4 linked regions of the Drosophila melanogaster genome follow. The protein of the gene in region 1 interacts with the protein of each later gene in a pairwise test. Each region holds a gene or a part of one and is shown on either strand. Other genes may lie near its edges.

What was found.
Region 2: the proteins of Cyt-b5 (region 1) and Vajk3 interact in a two-hybrid assay, tested with the Drosophila melanogaster proteins (one large-scale study listed by BioGRID).
Region 3: the proteins of Cyt-b5 (region 1) and CG8128 interact in a two-hybrid assay, tested with the Drosophila melanogaster proteins (one large-scale study listed by BioGRID).
Region 4: the proteins of Cyt-b5 (region 1) and CG42359 interact in a two-hybrid assay, tested with the Drosophila melanogaster proteins (one large-scale study listed by BioGRID).

The regions. Positions count from the first base shown.
Region 1 is NT_033778.4:7,530,535-7,536,436, reverse strand, and holds Cyt-b5 (cytochrome b5), read right to left. Parts: upstream 2,932-5,902; 5' UTR 2,827-2,931; coding exon 2,707-2,826; intron 1,429-2,706; coding exon of another isoform or gene 1,342-1,428; intron 1,106-1,341; coding exon 821-1,105; 3' UTR 501-820; downstream 1-500. Other genes in the region: Gpo2 (glycerophosphate oxidase 2), read right to left, coding at 1-395. UniProt on the Drosophila melanogaster protein: Cytochrome b5 is a membrane-bound hemoprotein which functions as an electron carrier for several membrane-bound oxygenases.
Region 2 is NT_033779.5:13,944,256-13,949,248, reverse strand, and holds Vajk3 (Vajk3), read left to right. Parts: upstream 1-1,772; 5' UTR 1,773-1,851; intron 1,852-2,121; 5' UTR 2,122-2,148; coding exon 2,149-2,160; intron 2,161-3,198; coding exon 3,199-4,020; 3' UTR 4,021-4,493; downstream 4,494-4,993.
Region 3 is NC_004354.4:15,695,196-15,700,933, forward strand, and holds CG8128 (uncharacterized protein), read left to right. Parts: upstream 1-2,298; 5' UTR 2,299-2,468; intron 2,469-2,837; exon of another isoform or gene 2,838-3,127; 5' UTR 3,128-3,325; coding exon 3,326-3,492; intron 3,493-3,564; coding exon 3,565-3,686; intron 3,687-3,966; coding exon 3,967-4,670; 3' UTR 4,671-4,839; downstream 4,840-5,738. Other genes in the region: CG9240 (uncharacterized protein), read right to left, coding at 5,211-5,612.
Region 4 is NT_033777.3:19,160,336-19,164,826, reverse strand, and holds CG42359 (uncharacterized protein), read left to right. Parts: upstream 1-2,526; 5' UTR 2,527-2,588; coding exon of another isoform or gene 2,589-2,711; intron 2,712-2,787; coding exon of another isoform or gene 2,788-3,037; 5' UTR 3,038-3,076; coding exon 3,077-3,475; 3' UTR 3,476-3,568; downstream 3,569-4,491. Other genes in the region: Nsun5 (Nop2/Sun-like domain containing protein 5), read left to right, coding at 2,589-2,711, 2,788-3,037, 3,603-4,100, 4,164-4,491.

The sequences.
Region 1 (5,902 bases):
ATGTGGCTGCGTTCCTGCAAGGAGCAGCGAACACGCCGAAAGGCAGCCACGTCCAGACGCGAGATGGCCTGCTCCAGATCCCTGAGGCCGCCGTGCAACAGTTTGCTCGATTTGGAGGAAGTGCCGCTGCCAAAGTCATTCGCTTCCACCAGGGCGGTCTTCAAGCCCCGCGTGGCAGCATCGAGAGCACAGCCGGAACCCACGGCGCCGCCGCCAATGATGAGGATGTCGTAGTGGGTTCGCTTAAAGGCCTCCAGGCACATCTTTCGCGTGGGCAGCTCCCGTTTCATCTGTGGCACTGGAGTCGAGTCCGCTTGCCTTTCATCGAATCCAAAAGCGCCGTGGCCCAGCTTGGAGCTGCCCAGCATCACCGCCATTTGAATGATCTTGGCCATGGTATTACCCCCTGCTTTACACACCAAATTTGGACTATTTTTGCGTGGGTCAACAATATATCTGACATCTAACGAAAGCACAAAAATTTGGACGGGTGTTTGCTTGCTTTTGGAAATATGTTTAATGTACATACATGCGAATAAAAACTTATCGTTTTCGTTCCGTGCCTCAAATGTTGGAATATCAATGGGATAAATTACTTTTAGAGTCTAGAACCGCCGTCTGAAGGAATTACACGTGTAGAGGGTTGTACAAAAACGCCAAATGCCAAAAATTATCGTTAAAACTTAGCACAAATTTACTATAAAAAGCTTTCCCGCTCCACTGTCCCGCTCCTCATGTGACTCTCGGGCTCTCCGTTTGTTGATTAACTAAGCGACTCCGGAGCGGGCTGGAAAGTCTCTGCTGGGCATTGTGGCTCCTCCTATTGCTTGGCACCGCCAAAGAAGAACTTGTAGAAGAGCGTGGCCACCAAGCACAGGACGAGGGGCACCAGCCACGACTTCACAGAACTCTCCTCGGTTTGCTGTTCCGTGCTCCAGGTCGGCTCCGACTTCTGGGCCACGCTTGTCCTTTCGCTCTCCACCAGCTCACCGATTTTGTACTTCTTCATCATGTCGCGGGCATCGTTGCTGTGGCCAACGTCCTCAAAGTTCTCCGTGGCATCTTTGCCGGCCTGCTCGATGAGCACCTCTTCGCCACCGGGATGCTGTCGTGAAGGAAAAGAGACAGATTAATATATTCGCATAAATAACTGTTGGCTGATCTTGGATAAATGCTAATGGACGTCTGACCCTGAATTTCATGGACCAGACAGCAGAGGGTATGGTATCAAGGTATAAAGTCGGGAATGCTTCGAAACATTCGTTTATGCGGAAGCTTTATGGTAATATTTTATACTTCCGTTGCGTTGAAAGTAAAAATATCACAACTAATTTCAGTTACAGATTTAATTTGGCACTTATAAGCCAATAAAGTTACAGAAACTTTGATCCTAAGAACTCGAGCGAAGTTACGTTTTGATTGTACCATTATAATAATGTTGAAACTTTGTACTATAGCTTAGAGTCATGCTGAAAAAGCCGCGGAGCAAGTATGATGTAATTATTGTTATTAATTACTATTAAAAGCAAACAAGTTGTTTCGCCTCAATTGTGCTGAGTGATAAGCTAAAGTAATTTTAGCCAAACTCTTCAAGGTGGCCGAGTGCAATTGAATCGATGATAAGCGTATCTCATAATTATTTTCACAATTCTTTAAACTTTTACATAGTCCAACTTAGCCTTATCTAATTTCGATGATTATATTGTAATTACTGTGTTGGTTTATATATGACAAATCGGAACATACATATGCAGGAAACACATTGAATAAGATTCGTCAAAATAAACTGATCATGTTGAATAAATAACGAATAAACACGTAAAAAATAATCTTTAGATCCAGCAAACGCTCTAAAATCTGGAAGTCTAATTTGCGATTTGTCTGGTGATGCTGTTACGCAGATAGCAAGGTAACAGTAGCTAATGTTATTCCTTAAGATGGAAGAGGACCAAGCGGATCAGATTAGGGGCATGTTTTAAACATGGACTGGGGATGGCTGCGGTCGATAGGCGGACTGAAACTTTGGAATGGAATTATAAATTAGATGCTTGGTCACTCTCACTATTGTTATTTTCAGCGTGTACCTAAAGTGCAACGTCATCGTTAGATCGGAATTTTCACAGAGCTTATCTTAGATCCCGCAGATAGCGGGAATGCTTGTGTAGTCTATATGTATAGATTTGGTGATGACCCTACTGCTGCGTCAGGGTGATACACTTTTCGGAGCCGGCGGCAGTCGGTTTGTCGGTGGTGCACTTGCATAAGAATCCGAATTCAAATCGGAGTCCGTTAATCAAATGAGATGCAAATGCAGACGCGGATTTCGCTTAACACTTGACCCTCGTCGCCCATCACACACATATATACATGTATGCAAATGGATAGTTTCGCCATGTGGAGCTCTTTCGACAGCTGGGCGAAAGTGGCTGCTGGAAGTTTCGACGTCGCAGCAAATCTGCGAAATCCGGACGCAGGTCAAACTACCGTCCGGGGGTCAAAGTACAGACCTAATTGCCCCGCGATGCAAGTTAGAGTCGCTACATGTGGCTACGTGGGCTTGGGCTTGTGCTGGGGCTGGGCCCATTAGCTCATCGGGACAAGTGAAACCCAGATAAGGCCCAATAGCAAACGATGACCCCCATTTAGTGGTGGGAGCGGGTGCGGGGCGGTGGCACTCAGCTGCGACGTGTTCCGTGCGATTCTCACCTCGTTGAGGAAGGCGGTGACGTCGTAGATGTTGTTGTGTATGAGCAGCCAGGTGTCCTTGTTCGTGTTGTGCTTGGCGACCTCGGCCCGCGTGAAAGTCTTTGTTTCCTCGCTCGACATGGTGATCACTTGTTGATTTCTACTGCGCGTTTGATTTGTGTCACGGAAAAACTATTTGTCCAGCCTCGCACTCTTCCTCCAGGGCGCACGGTCTCACAGAACTGGTGGCCGGCGGTCACACTGGCGCGCAGCAAGATGGCTTGTTTACACCAACGCCTATCGATATCGAATAGTGACCGTTTAGACTAGCCAGATTGTTTGTGGTATGAGCACATATTTTATTATAATATATAATAGCTTATAACTTATTTATCTAGCTTATAATTTGTTTACAGCACCCAATACACAATATATCGGATTTGGAGCGGTGGTTATGCGATGCGATTGTATAGTGGATCACGGCTATTTTACCATCGACATGTAAAGAATACTGCATACTTTTGGGCGCGATAAGACCAGTGCTCCAAAGCACCTCATTAATTTTGGCGCCCAATTTGAAATGTGAGAAAACCCTTTAGTGAAATAAACGATTCAAATGAAATGTACAAACAAAATTCGTAAGCAAATTTATTTTGGGCAGACCATTTCATTAATAAAAATGTATTTCGAGCGGTATCCCAGCGAACTGGTTCCACCAGCGACGAATGCGCAGACTCGGATCTTGTATTTACACTCAAGCCCTGCCTTTATTCCATACTCGGCAAAGGAGACTTCAAAGTCAAACGTATCCTGCTGTACGCCGTGCGGCTGCGGCGCTCCTTCAATAAAAACAGTCGACACGCATTGTGAAGAGTTTTCCAAAAGCTACAGCGCTGTCCAATAGCGCAATTCAAGTTAACAACAAACTAAGCATAAATATATTGATAAGTGACGGCGGGTGTGCTTTTGATACGCAGCGCTTTTAGCTTTTTTACAAAGGTAAGTTCCTTATTACGCAATTGGCATCCTGGAGTGGCCTACGTGCGGTGGCCATTTTCTTGGGTCCGATTTCCTTTCTCTGGTATACATCCACCACTATGTTTCCTTTTCCGCTTCGCTGATGCGTAATTCAAGTGACGGGATTTATGCGTTAAAAAGTTATTAAGTTTTGCCAACTTCAATCATGCCCTTGGATCCCGATTTACGCGTGTTCTGGAGCCCCGTGGGTAAACAACTCTTATGGGGGACAATCCAAAACTGAGTCGAGTGGCCCGTAAATCATTCAGATTGTTTGTGTCTTCGGGTTATCAGCACCTGGAGATTTGACTGGCCAGTAAACACTTACCAGCCGGGGGATACCTGTGCAAGGTGTTAGGAGAAGCACCCAAGCTCTGGATTTATGTATCCATTGCGGGTTATATGCGATATTCTTGGGGTAGGCGTAATGTGATTGATTACTTGTCAGAATAGTGGAGTATAATGCCAAAATTAGGTGTGGGTTTGGTTTATATATAGATATAGTATACTTATTATAACCCATTTAAACGCAATCGACGATTGTAAATTAGTACCACACACGCACTACTGGAAAACAAGAAAAACAAAGTCGGAAACTCAGATCTTGATTGCGATCGAAGGCATTATTCTCACTCACACAAAGGCTCTAAAAATAGCCCTGTTCCTGCATATTTTTTACACCGAGAGTTCACTTCGGTTGGCCGCCAGCGATTCAATTAAATTTTATGTCTCATTGCTGCATAATTGACGACATTTTCCGTTTCGGGCGGGGAAAAGGTGAGACAGTGGTCAACATTTTCCTGGCGCGACAGCACCACTAAATTTGCATTGCCAATCCGTCATTAGACTCGATTGATTCCGCCATTAAATACAATTGACTAGAATTGACGAACAAATGTTTTCAATTCAAGCGCAACAAAAAAAATGAATAAATAAATAATTCAGTAAATATTTTTCTTGCTCGATGATCTTTTGATCCGTACATCGAATGGGGAGGGGGGGGGGGTGGTATATCTTCGAGGGACGGATTTTAATTGGTCAGAAAAAGAGTTCGTTCAGTCGCTGTTTTTAATTGAACACATACTGTTTTTAATTGTGGCTTTTGCGAATTTCGTTCAACGAATTGTTATGTCACTTTCGCTTTCACCTTCGACCAGATTAAGGTTAAACAACTTAAATATCGCCACGAAGTCTTAATGTTTATAAATGTAAAGTGAAACGATGATAAATCTTATCTTATTCTTTGTTGTGTTTTTGCAAGAAATTTCATTGTTAATGATTTAATATACATATTTGATGTTTGCATATGGCATATGTAAGTTAATAATAAGTAAATGTGTACTTATTCATTGATATAGGGGTTGTTAACACCAATAAGTAACTTGTTTTGACCATTTTGCTGAAGTTCTGCCTAATTATGAAAATAATTCTTCTCAGTGTTTGAGGCTGTTGATTAACCCCAAAAAGTAATACATACATATGTATAAATGTAAATATATACATATATGTATGTACGTACATACATTTTTTGGTAAGGATGCAAATGTGTAAAACGTAACTGCGTAAATGTAAGGCGTATTTATAGCGGCTTATTTACGCATTGTTGTTGTGTGGGCCGTACAAAGAAGAACAACAAAGCAGAGGAAGGATGCCCATTTATGCATTCGTGCTGCGCCAAGGAGCGAGCGAGACAGAGAGACAAATTGAGTGAGGGAGAGAAAAGAAAAACAACGCGCTCCCTCTCTCACTCACTCACTGTCTGGGCATGCCACTCAGGCGTGATTATCATGCAGCGAGCACGTGTACATGACTTTGGTTTTGTTTTGCTTGCCGCTGCCCCCTCACCAACGCCTATCAGTTTCTTCTCAACGTTTCATTACCATGCAAACATCCACCGTTCCTCGCTCCGCAAACACAAGCAACAACAATCGCAAACAGTTAGAGGTGCGCACACACGACATACGTAGATACACAGATGCATACATAGATACAGCAAGCTAACAGTTTGATGCATTGATTGAGATAAAGATACAAAATGAGAGTACCGACAAAAATAATTTTTCTTACCAAAAAGAAGATATGTAACTAGATTTAGCTAAATACCCAGAACCTGAAAAGCTTAGAACATTCGCTTTCATAAAGTAACACTGTAAGTATCTATCTATCTATACACCATGCATATGTAAGTTGTTTGTTTATT
Region 2 (4,993 bases), on another chromosome or scaffold:
TACACGCATATCATTTTGGCTGCCAGTCGGCCGATTGGAGCGGAGTCCAACATTCAACAGGTTTCATTTTGCGCATTAACAAATAATTATGCTGGCAATTGCCAAATCACGGACTCAGCCTGGCTGATATATAATCTGATTTTGTGCAAATGCACAAGCATCTAATGCCGCTACTGCAACGGCGACCCATAAAGGCCTTTCACTTTTACGCCACAGTGCAGATCTCACGCATGGCACCCGATCCAGTCACTGTTCCAGTCACAGATCCATTTGCAATCCCCGTTGGTATTCCACTCCACAATCCCACACCCAGCGTTCCGATAATCGATTTCGAGTGCGAAACTTGAGATTCGCAGCCCACGGTTATGCACCGCATCTGTTGCATCACTTTTCACCACCCCCAATCGCAGATAGTATCTATTTTTTCCGCCCGGTGATCACTAAACCATTGTCAATGACATCAAAGATGCCGAGAAATTCCAGAGAGGCAGCTTCCGTTTTTACCTGGTTGTTGCAGGAAGTGCAAAATGGTAACCCGAGTACCCCAAAGGTGGCAAGAAAACCAGAAAGCCTAATTATGACAGCAATAGAAATTGAGACATCACACTCAAATTACTATCTTGCAACAATGTATACTGATATAAAGCAAGTAACTGGTTACAAGTACAGTGAACTTTGATAAATGTTGCTTACTACAATATCAATTACAAAATCAAAGTTTAATGTAATTAATTGCCATTTTTAAAAGATCTGAATCCGGTTAAAAATTAAATACTAAAATCCGGAAAACATTCGGTTCGCCAAATGCATACAAAATTATAAGAAACATTAATTAAGTTATAAATCAAGTTACCGTTAAATCAAGTTCTACGATATTAGATCTGCTAAGTGAATTTGAGATTTATTAAACTCAAATGAAAGAAATTGCTTTGTTACACTTTTGTTTATTGGGCCACAAAATGTTTCGAAATAAATTTTATATTGAAATTATACAAGATTAAAACCAGATTACCCCTTTGAACAATTCCAGATTTATAGACCCTTTGTTTAAAATGCGAGCCGAACGTATAAATATGATACTAATAAGCAAGTTTTTTTTTTTTTTTAATTAATGGAATCAAAACAAAATCTAGTTGAATTTCCATTAGGTAGACTCAGAATTATTGATATTAGGAATCAGGTTCGACCAAAACTGCTGACTTCTGAAACTTGACAAACAAAACATAACGACTTTGATAGACATATGACCTTTCGTTGAAATCTATATTTTTGGGAACAACTTGCTAAGAAGCCCGAAGACTTTTTATCCAAATAAAACAAAAAAAAAACAAGAAAGGATTGCTAGTACGTTCTGCGGGATTTTCCCAATATAAATTTCAATTCAAGATTTAGTTAATTTATTTTATTTGCTTTTTATGTTCCCAAATTGATTTGATCACATTTGCACCCATATTTTATAAGCCACTTTCAAGTTGGCGGCTAAAGTCACCAATACACACAGAGAAAAGCCGCAATTGCGTGAGTATTGGTGGCATGCCAGTGTATTGGTGAGCGCTTCCGCTTGCAACTTTCCGTGCCGCACTAATACACACAAATATAACCAATACAAGCGCAAACCAAGCCGAACTCAGAGCTTTGAAGAGAGCAATTAGGCTGGTTTGTGGTGGGAAAAGCTTTTGGAAACCGCTGAGCGACTTGGTTTGGCGGTGTTTTCAGTTTCGTTTTGACACAAAAACTCTTTGGGGGTATAAAAGCGCGCCACTGACCACAGACAGCATCCAGTCAAAGGTTTGGAATCGCTAGTGATTCTACAATCCTTCCACAGTCTATTTCGCTGTTACTGAGTTGCTTGTAAGTGAAGCCAAATGCCAAGTTAATTTTTGTTTGTTTCTAAAATGCGTGTAGTCTATGTGAAACGGAAATAAAGTTTAAGCTGTGATCTAAAAGTTATAAACTAATAACTGTGCGAGCCGTGTGCTCTAAATAACTTCAATTTTCCAAGGAACATTTTCCCAAAGAACAGATTGTTAATACCAATTAAAGTGCTGATCTTATAAAAAAAAAAATATCTATGCTGCATTTCGTATAAATAATCTTATTGTTTTCTTTGTTTACTTACAGCCTTGGCAAGTCCCATTAGACTCCACAATGAAAGTATTCGTAAGTACAACAGACATATAGTAATTAGACATATAGAATTTAGTTTGATATGTAAATGGGTACGAGTATGTGAACTATCGCTGTTGGTAGCATATTTTAGTGTGAGAAATCAAGTAATAATTCAAAGAATTGCATACAGAACAATGCTGACATGAACTAATTGGAACAATATAGCCTTTTGCATTGCAAATGCCTCACATTGTTTACCTGGCCATCTTCAACAACAAACAACTTCCTGAAACAATTCAATCCGATAAATTTCCTTAATCAAAGGTGAAATGCTCGCAAACGACCAAATTCAACTTGAACGACATGGCTAATAAGCGTTTATTAACTGAACGATCATAATTGGAGTGCCAGCCACGTTTATTACCAGGCCGTAATCAACTGGGTTCATGTGCTCAATTAAAGCCAGCTCCAAATGCATTCGCTGAGTTGCCCACTGCGTATGCGTAACGTGACGCCAGTCGGTTGAGGCGTATTGCGGAAACTGGGCGTGGCAGTGGGCGATGACTGCACTGCATCATTTATGCCAGGCACGCACAAATTTCACTTGACCATTTGAATCGCGAAAGAGGGCGATGAGACAACGGACGACACAATGCGAATCGGGCCACATATCGCCTATCGCCTTCGCTTTCTATTGCGATTAGGTAATCGATCAAACTAGGCAATGGGTGATAAAAGTCAACGTTTTCGTTAGGCAATTTATGTAGGTTGCATATCTTGAATTGTTTTATCATAGAGAAGCTTCAAATACTTAAAGAATAGACTATACGAATTTCATGATAGATGAGTTTGCACAGTTGAGAATTCGAAGATAGTATGACTAAATTTTATTTCATTTCATTTTGAAATAGATTTAAACTATATTTGCAAGGAATCAAGTTCTACTTACTAACTTAGTTATTGTGAAATAAACTATTAAGAAATCACAAATATCTAGAATTTTGCTAGAAAATTAATATATTATTATTATTTAAAAGTCTCTAAAATGCATAGTTTCATAACCAATCGCACCAACTCAATTCTTTGCAGATCTGCTTAGCCGCTCTGCTGGTGGCCTCCGCCTGCGCCAGCAAAACCGAGGGTGAGAAGGTGCCGCTGGAGAAGAAGCTGGACAAGCGCGGCCTGCTCGATCTGGGCTACGGCTACGGTCATGCTGGTCTGGACACCGGCTACCTGGGACATGGTTCCATCTCCGGCCACGGAAGCTACGGACATGGCTACGGACTGACCGGATACTCCGCACCCGCTGCCGTCGCCGTGGGCCACAGTGGTCCCGCGATCGCCGTTGGACACACTGCTCCCGCCGTCGCTGTCCACCACGCTCCCGCCCCCTATGTGATCAGCAAGCAGGCCGATGTGCACAAGACCATCACCATCACCAAGGGAATCCCAGTGCCCGTGCATGTGGACCGCCCCTATCCCGTCGTCCATGAGAAGCGCGTGCCCGTCGAAGTTAAGGTGCCCGTGCCCCAGCCCTACGAAGTCATCCGCAAGGTGCCCGTGACCGTTAAGGAGTACGTCAAGGTGCCCGTGCCAGTGCCCCAGCCCTACGAAGTGATCCGTCACGAGAAGGTGCCCGTCCATGTGCCCGTCGATCGCCCAGTGCCCGTTGAGGTGCCCAGGCCCTACCCCGTGCCAGTGGCCAAGCCCTACCCTGTCTACGTGGAGAAGGCCGTCAATGTCCAGGTGCCCGTGCATGTGGATCGTCCCTACCCCGTCTACGTGAAGGTGCCCGTGGTGTCCCACTCCGTGGTCAAGCACGCACCCACCGTTGCCGTCAGCAGCTACCCTGTTAGCGCCATTGGCCACGATGCCACCGTCTACTCCGACCACCATGGTTACCACAAGTAAGCGGACGGAATGGACCGGAAGCAGGCGAATCTATTGGAGCGAGCGGACTTAATGGAAATGAGCCGAAGGATATCTAGCAACATTTTCAATTATCTTCCCCACTCTCTCCACCTGTCGGCCTTCCTTTCCAAAACCGAGCGCAGAAGCAAACTCTTAAAATACCCCCTGGAAGTCAAACTTCCGCCCTGCCACACTCTCTGTAGCTGATAAGAACCCCCAAGATGAAACAAGCAATGCCTTTTGTAAATTATTTCCAATCCAGCCATCCAATGGAAGCCATTGTGCTGGGCCAAGAACTCCAGGTTTAGGATAAATACCAGCTAACTGTTTGTAAATTTCGCCATTTATGAACAGTTTAGCTGGCCAAGTTTATCAGTGAAAGGTTTCGGCGCACAATGAATTGAATGGATAATAAGAACAGAAATATCTATGTGAAAATCTATTAAGGACAAATAAAATAAAATGTATAAAATAAATTTCACTGTCTTTATCACTGGTTAGCTGCTGGAAATAGTTTGTCATAGGGTTCTTTGTAATTGTATATCTTGTAAATATATTTTGTAAATAAAGAGTATGTTGTTATTAAACAGCTGTCGTTTTTGATTTGGTGGCTACTCAACATAAATAATATTTAAAAAATGTATTTTTACTAGACTTTTTGAGGATCATTTTCTGGAATATTTACAGCTCTCTAATAATATTTATTAAATAGACGGAATGGTTCAAAAACTTTATGTTCCGATCACTTTAATAAAAAGTTATACGAAGACCCTTTAATCTTGCAAGGTAACAAGTAGGATACCAGTAATTATTTCAAGCCAAGAGATGCGAATTATGCATACCTGTAATTAAGTACAGCTTAAGTTGTAATAAATCAATAATACTCAGTCACAATAAAAACAGATGTCTTGACGCCTTCCTGATCCTTAAACCCGAAAATCCTCTCACCAGTCAGTCAGCTGAGATGACATGA
Region 3 (5,738 bases), on another chromosome or scaffold:
TTATACAGTTTCGTGAAAATGCGCTGGCTGAAGGGGGTGTGAAAATGGCTTAATAGTAGTTAATTTTCCGCTTGTCACGCCTTCAGTGAAAAATCCAACAAAAAAATATTACTCATTACCCGTTTACTCATTCGAATAAAGCTTATGCACTGTGACAAAAAAAAAAGAAAAAATAAAAAGAAAAACCTGATGCCTTCAGCTGGCAAAGGCACACACCCACCGACTGGAAATGGGGAAAAATCGACGTTAATTTATTTCAATTTCCAAACCATTGTCTGAATATAAACAGTTCGTTAGCGAACCCAACCAGTTTTCCTAGGAGTTTTTCAAACTTTTATTAGACAAATACGAGAACGGGACACTTGAAATTACGCTTAATTGGCGGCGAAACAATGCTGAATGCCGAGGGCATTACGGGTATAAATGATAAGGAAAACTCCCTAATTACAAACAAGAATTTTCCGGGTGCGCGCAAAATAGTGAAGGAAATACAAAGAAAAGGGTTGACGAAGATCGCGCCTGGGAACCTAATAACCCCGATTTTCCACCAACTTCGACATTGGAGTTGAAGTTTTCGATAAGCCGGCGATGGAAAATAGATATATATATATATATATATGTGTGTATATGTACGTGTCCCCAAACAGCCATAGATTTTTTAATAAATATTTGAGATGGCATTTTCACTTAAGCCACGGCATGGAAATCCATTGTGTGCAAACAGGAGGTTGGTTAGCAACCCTAAGCGGAAAATTTGTTTAAACAACTGAGCAAATATCGCCCGCTGGAGAGGGGTAACTTTTTTATGTACTCCCTCTTCGCATATTTTTTTTTTTTTGGGAATTTCCCCCCCAAAAAACAAAAAGAAATTGAAAATTGCTAAGCCGGCAATCAAAATACAAACATCAGGCGAAACTCAACGAGTACCATTGTTGTCCAACTGAAGCACCTGAATTTATGGCACAAGGACATACCACCACACACACACACACACACCTCCCCCCCCCACACACACACAACTACCACCCCCCTGGTGAGTCACGGTTTAAATGTGCATTTCGCAACACATTTACGATCCTTTCTACTCGTAATCCCTTCAATCGCGCTCTAAACTGCTAACTGGTTCCTGATTCCCCAGGATTCCTGGTCGCTGGCGCTTTGTTGCTCTAAATAGCCCTTTCCAAATCACTGGACTCGCACAAAGGACTCGCCCTCAATTGCGCAACTATTTCGATTTCAAAAAAAAAAAATCAAATTAAATAAAATAAAATAAGTGAAGAGGAGAGAAATGGGCCAAACTGGGCGCGCAGCCAAAGAGGATATTTAGTTATATATGAAAATAAAGTTTCAAAGGATCTCAACTATAGAATTTGAAGGCACCTATTGGCCTATTAAAACGATTTATACAGATATGTTTCTTTTCGTATTCAAGTAAAGTAAAAAGGCGAAAAAATTAAAAATGGAACAGTAGCTCCAAGATGACCAACGATGACGGTCAAGAGACGGATGCGGGCTCCACAGTCCAAGAAGGTGATATCGTTCTTCAAGAATCATCGCCGCATGCTCCGCAGGCAGGGCATCGAGGATCTGCTGCATCTGGCCGAACGTGGCCACGTCGAACCGATTAGAGATAGAGACTAGGAGATCGGCATCGAATGCTACATATACGGTATTTATTCCACATTTCCATTCAAATTTGAAAAGCTTAGTTTAAGTTCTAGGATTATTGAATTCCTCTTGCATTTAAATATTTTGTAGTCTACTTTTAGCCGTCTTTAAGAACGACTTCAACCCTCTGCTAATCAGAATGTTAATTCTAAAGCTGGTCGCATTTCTTATTAGAATAGCGTTAGATGTTTTGCGTACTCATCAAAAATTTCCCAATTGAATTAATCATTACTTATGCTACTACTTATGCAGCATTGTCCTTCCTGGCATTGACTGTGACTATTACTATATTATTGTAGGAAGGACTGCACGCATACCAAGAGCGCGATAAATAGCGATGACAGCAGCGAATTTTCCCGCAACGAAGCCGACGACCAGCGAACTTAAGCTCTTTTGGCCATCTAAAGGATGGAAACATTCGATATATTAGCCAAGCCGCTAGCCAGTAACTTATATAACCCATATTAGCTATTTCAAGATTTAATAAATTGTTCCGGAGGCCATATATTTAAAAAATGTTGGTTTGCTCATATTTGATTTTTAACCATTACATATAAGGCTGAACAGCTTTTTCTAGCCAGGCTGGCAGCACTGCCGGATCAGCTGACTGACTTTTCTGTGTGCGCGCCATCCCTAGAAATTAACGTGCTAGTGGAAGTGGAAGCGAATTGAAATCGCGCGCTGCTCTATTCGCTTGTTTATGCCAAAGTCCATGGCTACATTGGATCGGATCTGTAATTAGTCGTCTGGAGGAACTGGACGGATTGGCTCAGTGACACCATTAGCCATTGACTTTTCTAGTGAGTTCGAGTTCCACACAATGTTCTATTCTAGCGCAGATATGGAATAAAAAAAAATATATTTGGCTTGGTTTGTTATGTAAAACGCGTATCAATTCTCTGGCGCGTTGATAACAGCAGCAATTCAGTTGATAAACAAACACAAAACCCATGCGGAAACAATTGAAACGACCCCACACCCCAACACCGCCACCCACCACCCACACGCACCTTGGGTTGTCGCTCAAGGTTGCGCTAGAGATGAGCAGGAAGCAGTGACTGCTATCGTGATTGCCATTAATATTAGTATTAGTATTAGTATAGTGATAACACAGTTTTTTATATATATGTACATATATAGTGATACTTTCAGTTGAATCTATATTTTAGTTTCATTATACTCATGTCACCGGTTTTCTGTCAAAGTCACACTGTTCTGCGCATCTCTATCGCCACTATTTGTTACTGACGTTAGCGCCAAATTCGAAATGTCAAGAACAGAAATCCGAACGTAACAGCGGCCATATCGCTTATCTAGCGACGGCGGCAGATAGTGGCAACCTGCTCCTCCGTCTCGCTCTGCTCCGCCCATCGCAGCAGATTTGCATCGTTGTTTGGAGCCATGCGGCTATTTCACCTCTTTCACCTGTCTGTTTGCCTCGTTTCACACACACACACAGCATGCCCAGGAATTGGCTTCACCTCGCATTGTGGATAAACTGAGACGGTAAAGTCGTTGTCGCCGCCACCGCCTCCGCCACGCCCACCAAGCGGACAGCACCCAGATCTCCGGTTGCGAACTAGTAGTGACGCCAACGTGGTCGATCGCCGTCGTCGTCATCAACAACGTTGTGTTCGTCGAACTGTGAGATTATTTAATGTTGGCCACCGGTTTTCTGGCTCGCAGAACCGTACTTAACCAGCCGGCGTTCAATTCATGGAGCACACTCCTCCGGACCGCTAGAAAACGACCCACATCCACGGTTGCCGCCAGAGTTCCATTAAAGCTTCAGTCACAGCAGCAATTTACAAGAGCATACTCGTCGTAAGAATTGAAAGATGTACATACATATGTATTTAACACATGATTGAAAACTATTTGTATCCCACGATTTAGCTCCAAAACCATGGACACGCCGGCGGATGTATTCCGCGGCATTACGGATCGATTTGCCGGAGTAACAGTCGATGGGCGCGAGGAGAACGTGGACAAATCCAGTTTCCGGGACAAGCTCACAAGTAAGAATATATATCTTAAAATATGTCGGTATCTTTGCCTGGACGTATATTTTTTGTATCATTGTATCTTCTAAGTCTTCGTGCTATCATAAGTTGATTAAAAGTTTATCTATCTAAAGTTGGGGTACTAAATTAAATTTCCAAAATCATTGCTCTCCACTTTTATCAATTTAAAAGTTGTCTATGACTATAAATAGTCATAGACAATAAACGGCTTATAATTTTAATTAAATCTGTGTCACCAATTACCAAATTATATTAATAACGAAATACCTTTTAGAATCCCTGGACTTTTGGACGACGAACAAGAACCGGGCCATTTGGTTCCGCGTGTACAAGGAGCAGGCTGATTGGGTGCCCATTCTGGCGGAGAACGGCTTTGATTTCCATCATGCCAAGACCGGTGTGGTGGTCATGTACCGCTGGTTGCCGGAGCACGAGTCTAGCAACCTACCCACCTACGCCCACACGCTAATGGGCGTCGGCGGACTGGTTATCAACGAACAGGACGAGGTGCTGGTGGTGTCCGATCGTTTTGCAATGATACCAAACAGCTGGAAGCTGCCCGGCGGCTATGTGGAGCCGCGGGAGAATCTCATCGATGCGGCAATACGAGAGGTGGCCGAGGAGACGGGAATCCGCACCGAATTCCGCTCAGTGGTCAGTCTGCGGCATGCCCATGGCGGCACCTTCGGCTGCTCCGACATGTACGTGGTCATCGCCCTAAAGCCACTGAATTTGGACTTTACGCGCTGCGAACGCGAGATAGCGCGCATCCAGTGGATGCCCATCGCGGAGTATCTGAAGCATCCGCAGGTCCACGAGACGAACAGGCAGTTCGTCTGCACCTTTTTGGACTACCAGAAGCGCGGCCTGACCCTCACCTGTCGCGACGAAGTGCATCAGGTGCTAAAGAAGAAATACAATCTGTATTACGTGGATCGGGAGCAGCCACAGGAGCAGCAGGATAAAAAGAATTCGTGAGACTTGTCGGTGCAATGGCCAAATCCTTAGTGCAATTTTTATAAAGTCCTTTCTTCCAAAAGCCAGCAGCATCACAACTGCGCATTCAAATGTTCACAATGTAGTCAATAAATGAATTTTTTTGTATATAATTATATGCATATATCAATTAAAGCTCACACAGCCTTTTACAAAAGCTTTTCTTTTGATACCATTTTTAGAAACGCCAATAATTTAAAATATGGCATTATTTTGAATATGACGCCCAAACATGGTAAATACTTCCTTAGAAGGTAAGCCAATAAGGATTAAGGATGTAAGCTTCATACTTTGAAAAATATGTTTATTAAAAACAAAAATGAAAAGAAATTATTATTCTCTCCTGTTTTTTTCAACTTATTTTCAATGATATGCAAAAACCAGAAGTCGCACAAATGAGACGAAACTCGCATACGTAATGATTCTAAAAAGTTGTGGTTTGATGTACTATAATTTCCAAACGAAACATAGGCCATTTATTGGGTCAAGTTGATTTTAAACTCTTTGTTGTACGAATGCCATCTATAGACCCGTGGCCTCGGATATCGGCCAGATGCGGCAGAGCACGCGGCTCCGGATGAGGCCCACCGGAATGGGTCCGTAGTAGCGGGAATCCGAGCTGTTTCCCTTGTTGTCACCCTCAATCCAAACGTGTCCGCGCGGCACATAGTCCTTGACCATCACGGGCTTCTTCTTGTCATCCGAATTACCACTAAACTCCGCCTCAATGGGAATGGGCTTCTGGATTAGCACCTGATCACCGGAAACGGCCACGATACGCTTGCAAATGAACTGATCGGCTTTGATGGGCGATATGGCGATGACTATGTCGCCGGGCTGGTAGGTTCGCCAGTGTTTCGACAAGCGCTCGGTGAGAAGAACGTTGTCCGAGTGCAGGGTGGGCTCCATGGAGGGTCCTTTGCACTGGAAATGGTTGCATTAATGTGAGTGTACGTACTTTTCCGCAAAAGAAGGATATCAAGTGGAAGTTACACAAGGTGGAAAAACAAGTGGAGAGTACCTTAATGCATTCACACGAACTATGTGATG
Region 4 (4,491 bases), on another chromosome or scaffold:
TATTTTGGAGCACGTGTTCGCCGACTGATTGTGGGTGGGAGCCCGCCTGGGAGCTTGCCTGTTTCGCACACTGACACACTCACACACACTGGCGCAGGTGATTTGTTTGTGGTCTGCGGCACTCTATTTTCGTACTTTTGTTTGTTTTTGGGCACCCCTTGCGATTGATTTATTTAGCGAAAATTAGCGAATTTAGTGGGGATTTGCGTAGTTTGCTACGTTCTGCTTTGCCGTCGGGCCTCTCTTTCGCACACAGAAGAGACTCTCGAGTGGCAACAAGAAAAAATGGCCGCGCACGCCAAAAATACACACACACACCAACGCACACACACGGCAAGCTTATGTTTTTTTTTGCTTTTTCTGCACTTGTGCTTTTTTGCCCTTCTTGTATCGGACTCCCGAAATATTAGTTTTTTCAGCGACCAACAACGATTAATTGCATTTACAACGAACACGTTGCGAGGGGGGCGTGGAGCTGGAGCAGTTGGGGGCGTAAGCTCCGCTCTTCGGTTGTTTACGTCGCGGCAAACGCAAAAAAACACCAACAGAAGCAGCAGAACAGGAGGAGCTAGAATAACTGTTCGTGTTCACGACCGTCGAAAAACTGACTGAAAAAAAATCACAGCGAAGAGCGTCTTTTTTCAGAAGTTGTTTTTCGCTCTCTTCTCTCTCCGCACAAACGCACACTAGTGAAAAAGGCTTGTTTATGTTTTTTATGTGTGCGCTCTCACTCTCTCGCGCTCTTTTTTGTTCCCGGCGCCACAGAGTTTTTTTTCGGTTTCGGGGAGGAGGCGTGCTCTTTTTTTCGAATACCAAATTTAATTGGGCCAAATTCTGGGGAGAGAAAAACAAAAAGAACATATAATATCCTGCATCCTTTCTGCAGTGCCATTGCCCTGACTTTTGGCGGTATTTTCTATTTTTGGGAATCTGAAATTACAATTTAAGCTTTTAGCGAATCCTAATCTAGGAAACAGCAATAGTGGTACATAAGGTCCTCCGTGCTGGACATGATGCACATCACCCGGAACAGTGGCACAAAGAGTTTATCCAAAATATTAGGATGTTCTCCTGGCTGTATTGAAAATTCCGTGCCACTGGATCTTCGCCTATGAGCTGTTGAACTTTGTTACCATTTTATAACTTACACTTACATATGTATATTATTATAATCTATTATATAATATCAATGTTATTGTAATTATATTATTTTGCGCGCTGAATTCATGCCTATGCGATTCTATTGTATAAATATATATGTATTTATATATATGCATTTGTTAATACTTCTGAAAAAGAAAATGAAGAACTTAAATATCCGTTACATATTATATAATATTATTGATAATATTATTATAAGAAAAATATGTCTTGAAGATCAAATTGAAGATAAGAATTTTAAAGTTCCGGAAACTGATAATTATTTTATAACTCCTCATAATTTTTAAGGTTTTTTTTTTTACAAAATCAAAACATTTTTTGTTGTTTACCCTTGAAATATTTCTTTATTCACATTTTCTACATTAAAGTGCTGCGCCAAATATAAAATTTGAGCCTCCAAAAGAATTAAAAAATTTAACTTAAAAATAAAAAATATTAATTTATGTATATTTGAAATTAAGCAGCAGTCAAAGTTATTTTAGTAGTTTATTGATGTTTAGTGGGCTAAGATTGTTCCTGAGGGGAGTTCCGCTGTGCACCACAATGGACTGAAATGAATATTCCCGGATTCCTTCTTCATTTCCGCCAGCGGTTAAAACCTGCAAAGTGACAGTGTGTCAGTTTTAATAACTAAAAAGAAAGTGCAAGTATCTACCGATTCATTTACATGGATATCAGTCGTGATTTTCGAGGAGACTCTTTTCTGAAAGTCGAATTGAAAGCGTTAAAAGCCAATACAAAAGTTTCCGGGTGCTGGCTGATGGACTCAACGTCTGTTCTTCGCACCAAGGACATTGTAGGATGCGATCCTCAGCCTTGATATCGTCTATCAACTCCTGGGCAAACATAGAAAGGTACGTTTCCTTAAAGTCCTTAAAGAATAGCGTGCTTCATTTTAATATTTTTTAATTAAAGCAGCCGTACAGACCCCAAAACAAACGACACACCAGAAACAAATTGGAAAAAACTTGATTTAATTCCAATTTACCAACTTATGCACGATAAATAAAAGCATGATTCTAAATTTTGGTAAACCTCCAAGAACGCGCACACTTTGACATTTTAAACTGCGGCTTTATCGCGCCAAAATTTTTAACCATGAAAATATTCTTGTGTTGGCAATGCTTGAAGTACAGTAATTTTTGCTCGCAACGTATGGCCACACTGCCAATTTATTTGTAAATTTGATACCCTGTATGTAAATATATTGGATAGAACATATATGTTTTGTAGTTATCGTTGGCAAAATTAGAACAACCTTTACATTAATTGTAGATATTTTCAAAACATGAATAACAATATGATTTGTTTCAAACGCCACATGCTTATCTCCAGCCCTGACATTCGATAAGCATATATCGATAAAGTCGTGATTGGGGTTGCACCTATTCTAGCGCAAACAACACATACACGTGCACGTGACGACAATGAGTAAAAAACCGCATTCCATAAAAGTTCCCACCCAATACAGGGCGACTGCCAAGATTTTGAAGGCGGCACTGGAGCAGCAGAAGTGCATCAAGACCCTAATATTTGCAGAGAAGCATGCCGTAAGTGGATTGGACCTCTCGTCCGCAGATCAAACCAATATGCGTATAACTTTTCCCTCTCGCACTTCACTTGTAGCGTACACGCTCTTTGCATACGGTTCTGAAAAAATTTAGCGAAAATCGTGTGGCACTGGAAAAGGCCATCGAAGAGACAGGACTGCTCAGGGACAATCCCAGTTTTGATCCCAGTTTGGCCAAGATTCTAGTCACCGAACTGCTGTTTGGCAGGAAGGAGCTGAACGGCGAAAGCAAACCCGTGCAAACGGTGCGAAGTTACAAGGATCGACTGCTAAATTCCATCAGAGATTTCGGTGTCCAGCGAAAAGGCAGGTTATCACACCGATTACCAGTATTAGCCGGCTGAGATGGGCAAGAAGAACAGGAAACAACAGCATGTCGATGTGGTGCCAGCTACCACTGATGATTCCCCGGCTGTCATTGATTCTCCCGTGGAGCATCATACGCAGCAGGAGGACACCAGTGCGGAGGTCTTCCTCTGGCTGTTGGCCTACAGTGTGCTCATGTTCACGCTGCCCTTCTTGGGCTTCTATGGCGTCCGCAGCTGGCTGCAGGAGTCCTTCCCCCATTTGGACCTTTTCACGGTCAACTGTTGGTCAGTTCTCACGGCTGTTGTGGTTGTTAACCTCGTGGTGGCCATGTATGTATTAAAGGCTTTCCGCGAGAAGCCCCCACCACCCTTGGAACCCGTGCAGCAGGATGAGGACGACGAGCCGGAAGCTGCGGAGCCAAAGAAAGAACAGTAACTTAAGTGCTGCCAGCCAAGTCCAGATTATTTCGATCGTTTAAAGGACCAGTAACGACTCTTAACAACTCTTAATAAATCTTACTTTGGCTACAATTTTGAACTCGTCTTTTTGTTTGCCCACACAGAACCCAATCCTCGATATGTGCGCATCAACACAAATCTATACAGCTTGGCGGAGGCCTTGGACTACCTGCATAAAAGCGACTGGCGGCGCAAGGAGCTGCCTGCGGACGCCAGCTATGCGGATTTTCTGACTGCCATCAAATCGCTGGCGGAGAACGAGTTCATGACCGATCTGCACGTTGAGGGTGTGCTCATTTTTCCTGCCAAGTGGTCCAACTACTGGGTCCGCCATCCGTTGGTGCACAGCAAGAGGTTTATACTGCAGAACAAGGCCACCTGTTTGGCCGCCGAACTACTTGCTCCGCCGTCTGGGGCCACTGTGCTGGATATGTGCGCAGCTCCCGGTATGAAGACAGTGCACATATGCAATGTGATGCAGAACAAGGGATGCATCTACTCCGTGGAGCAGGACCACGTACGCTACAATACGCTGTGCGAAATAACAAAGGATGCTGGTTGCGATATTGTAAAACCCATTTTGGGAGACGCCTTGAACCTAAGTGAGTTTTATATTTATATATTTCACAATGAATATTTAAAAAAGTAACACGTTTGAATTTCAGCACCCGAACGCTTTCCGGACGTAGAGTACATCCTGGTGGACCCTAGTTGCTCTGGCAGCGGAATGCAAAACCGCATGACCGTGTGCGACGAGCCGAAGGAGGACAAGCGGCTGCAAAAGCTGCAGGGTTTGCAAATTAAGATCCTGTCGCACGCGATGGGCGCCTTTCCGAACGTCAAACGCATTGCCTACTGCACGTGTTCGCTGTGGAAGGAGGAAAACGAGCAGGTGGTGCAGCGTTGTCTTCAGCTAAATCCATCCTTCAAGCTGCTCAGCTGCAAGAAGGCCTTGCGCAACAAGTGGCACAATGTGGGCGACAAGGACTATCC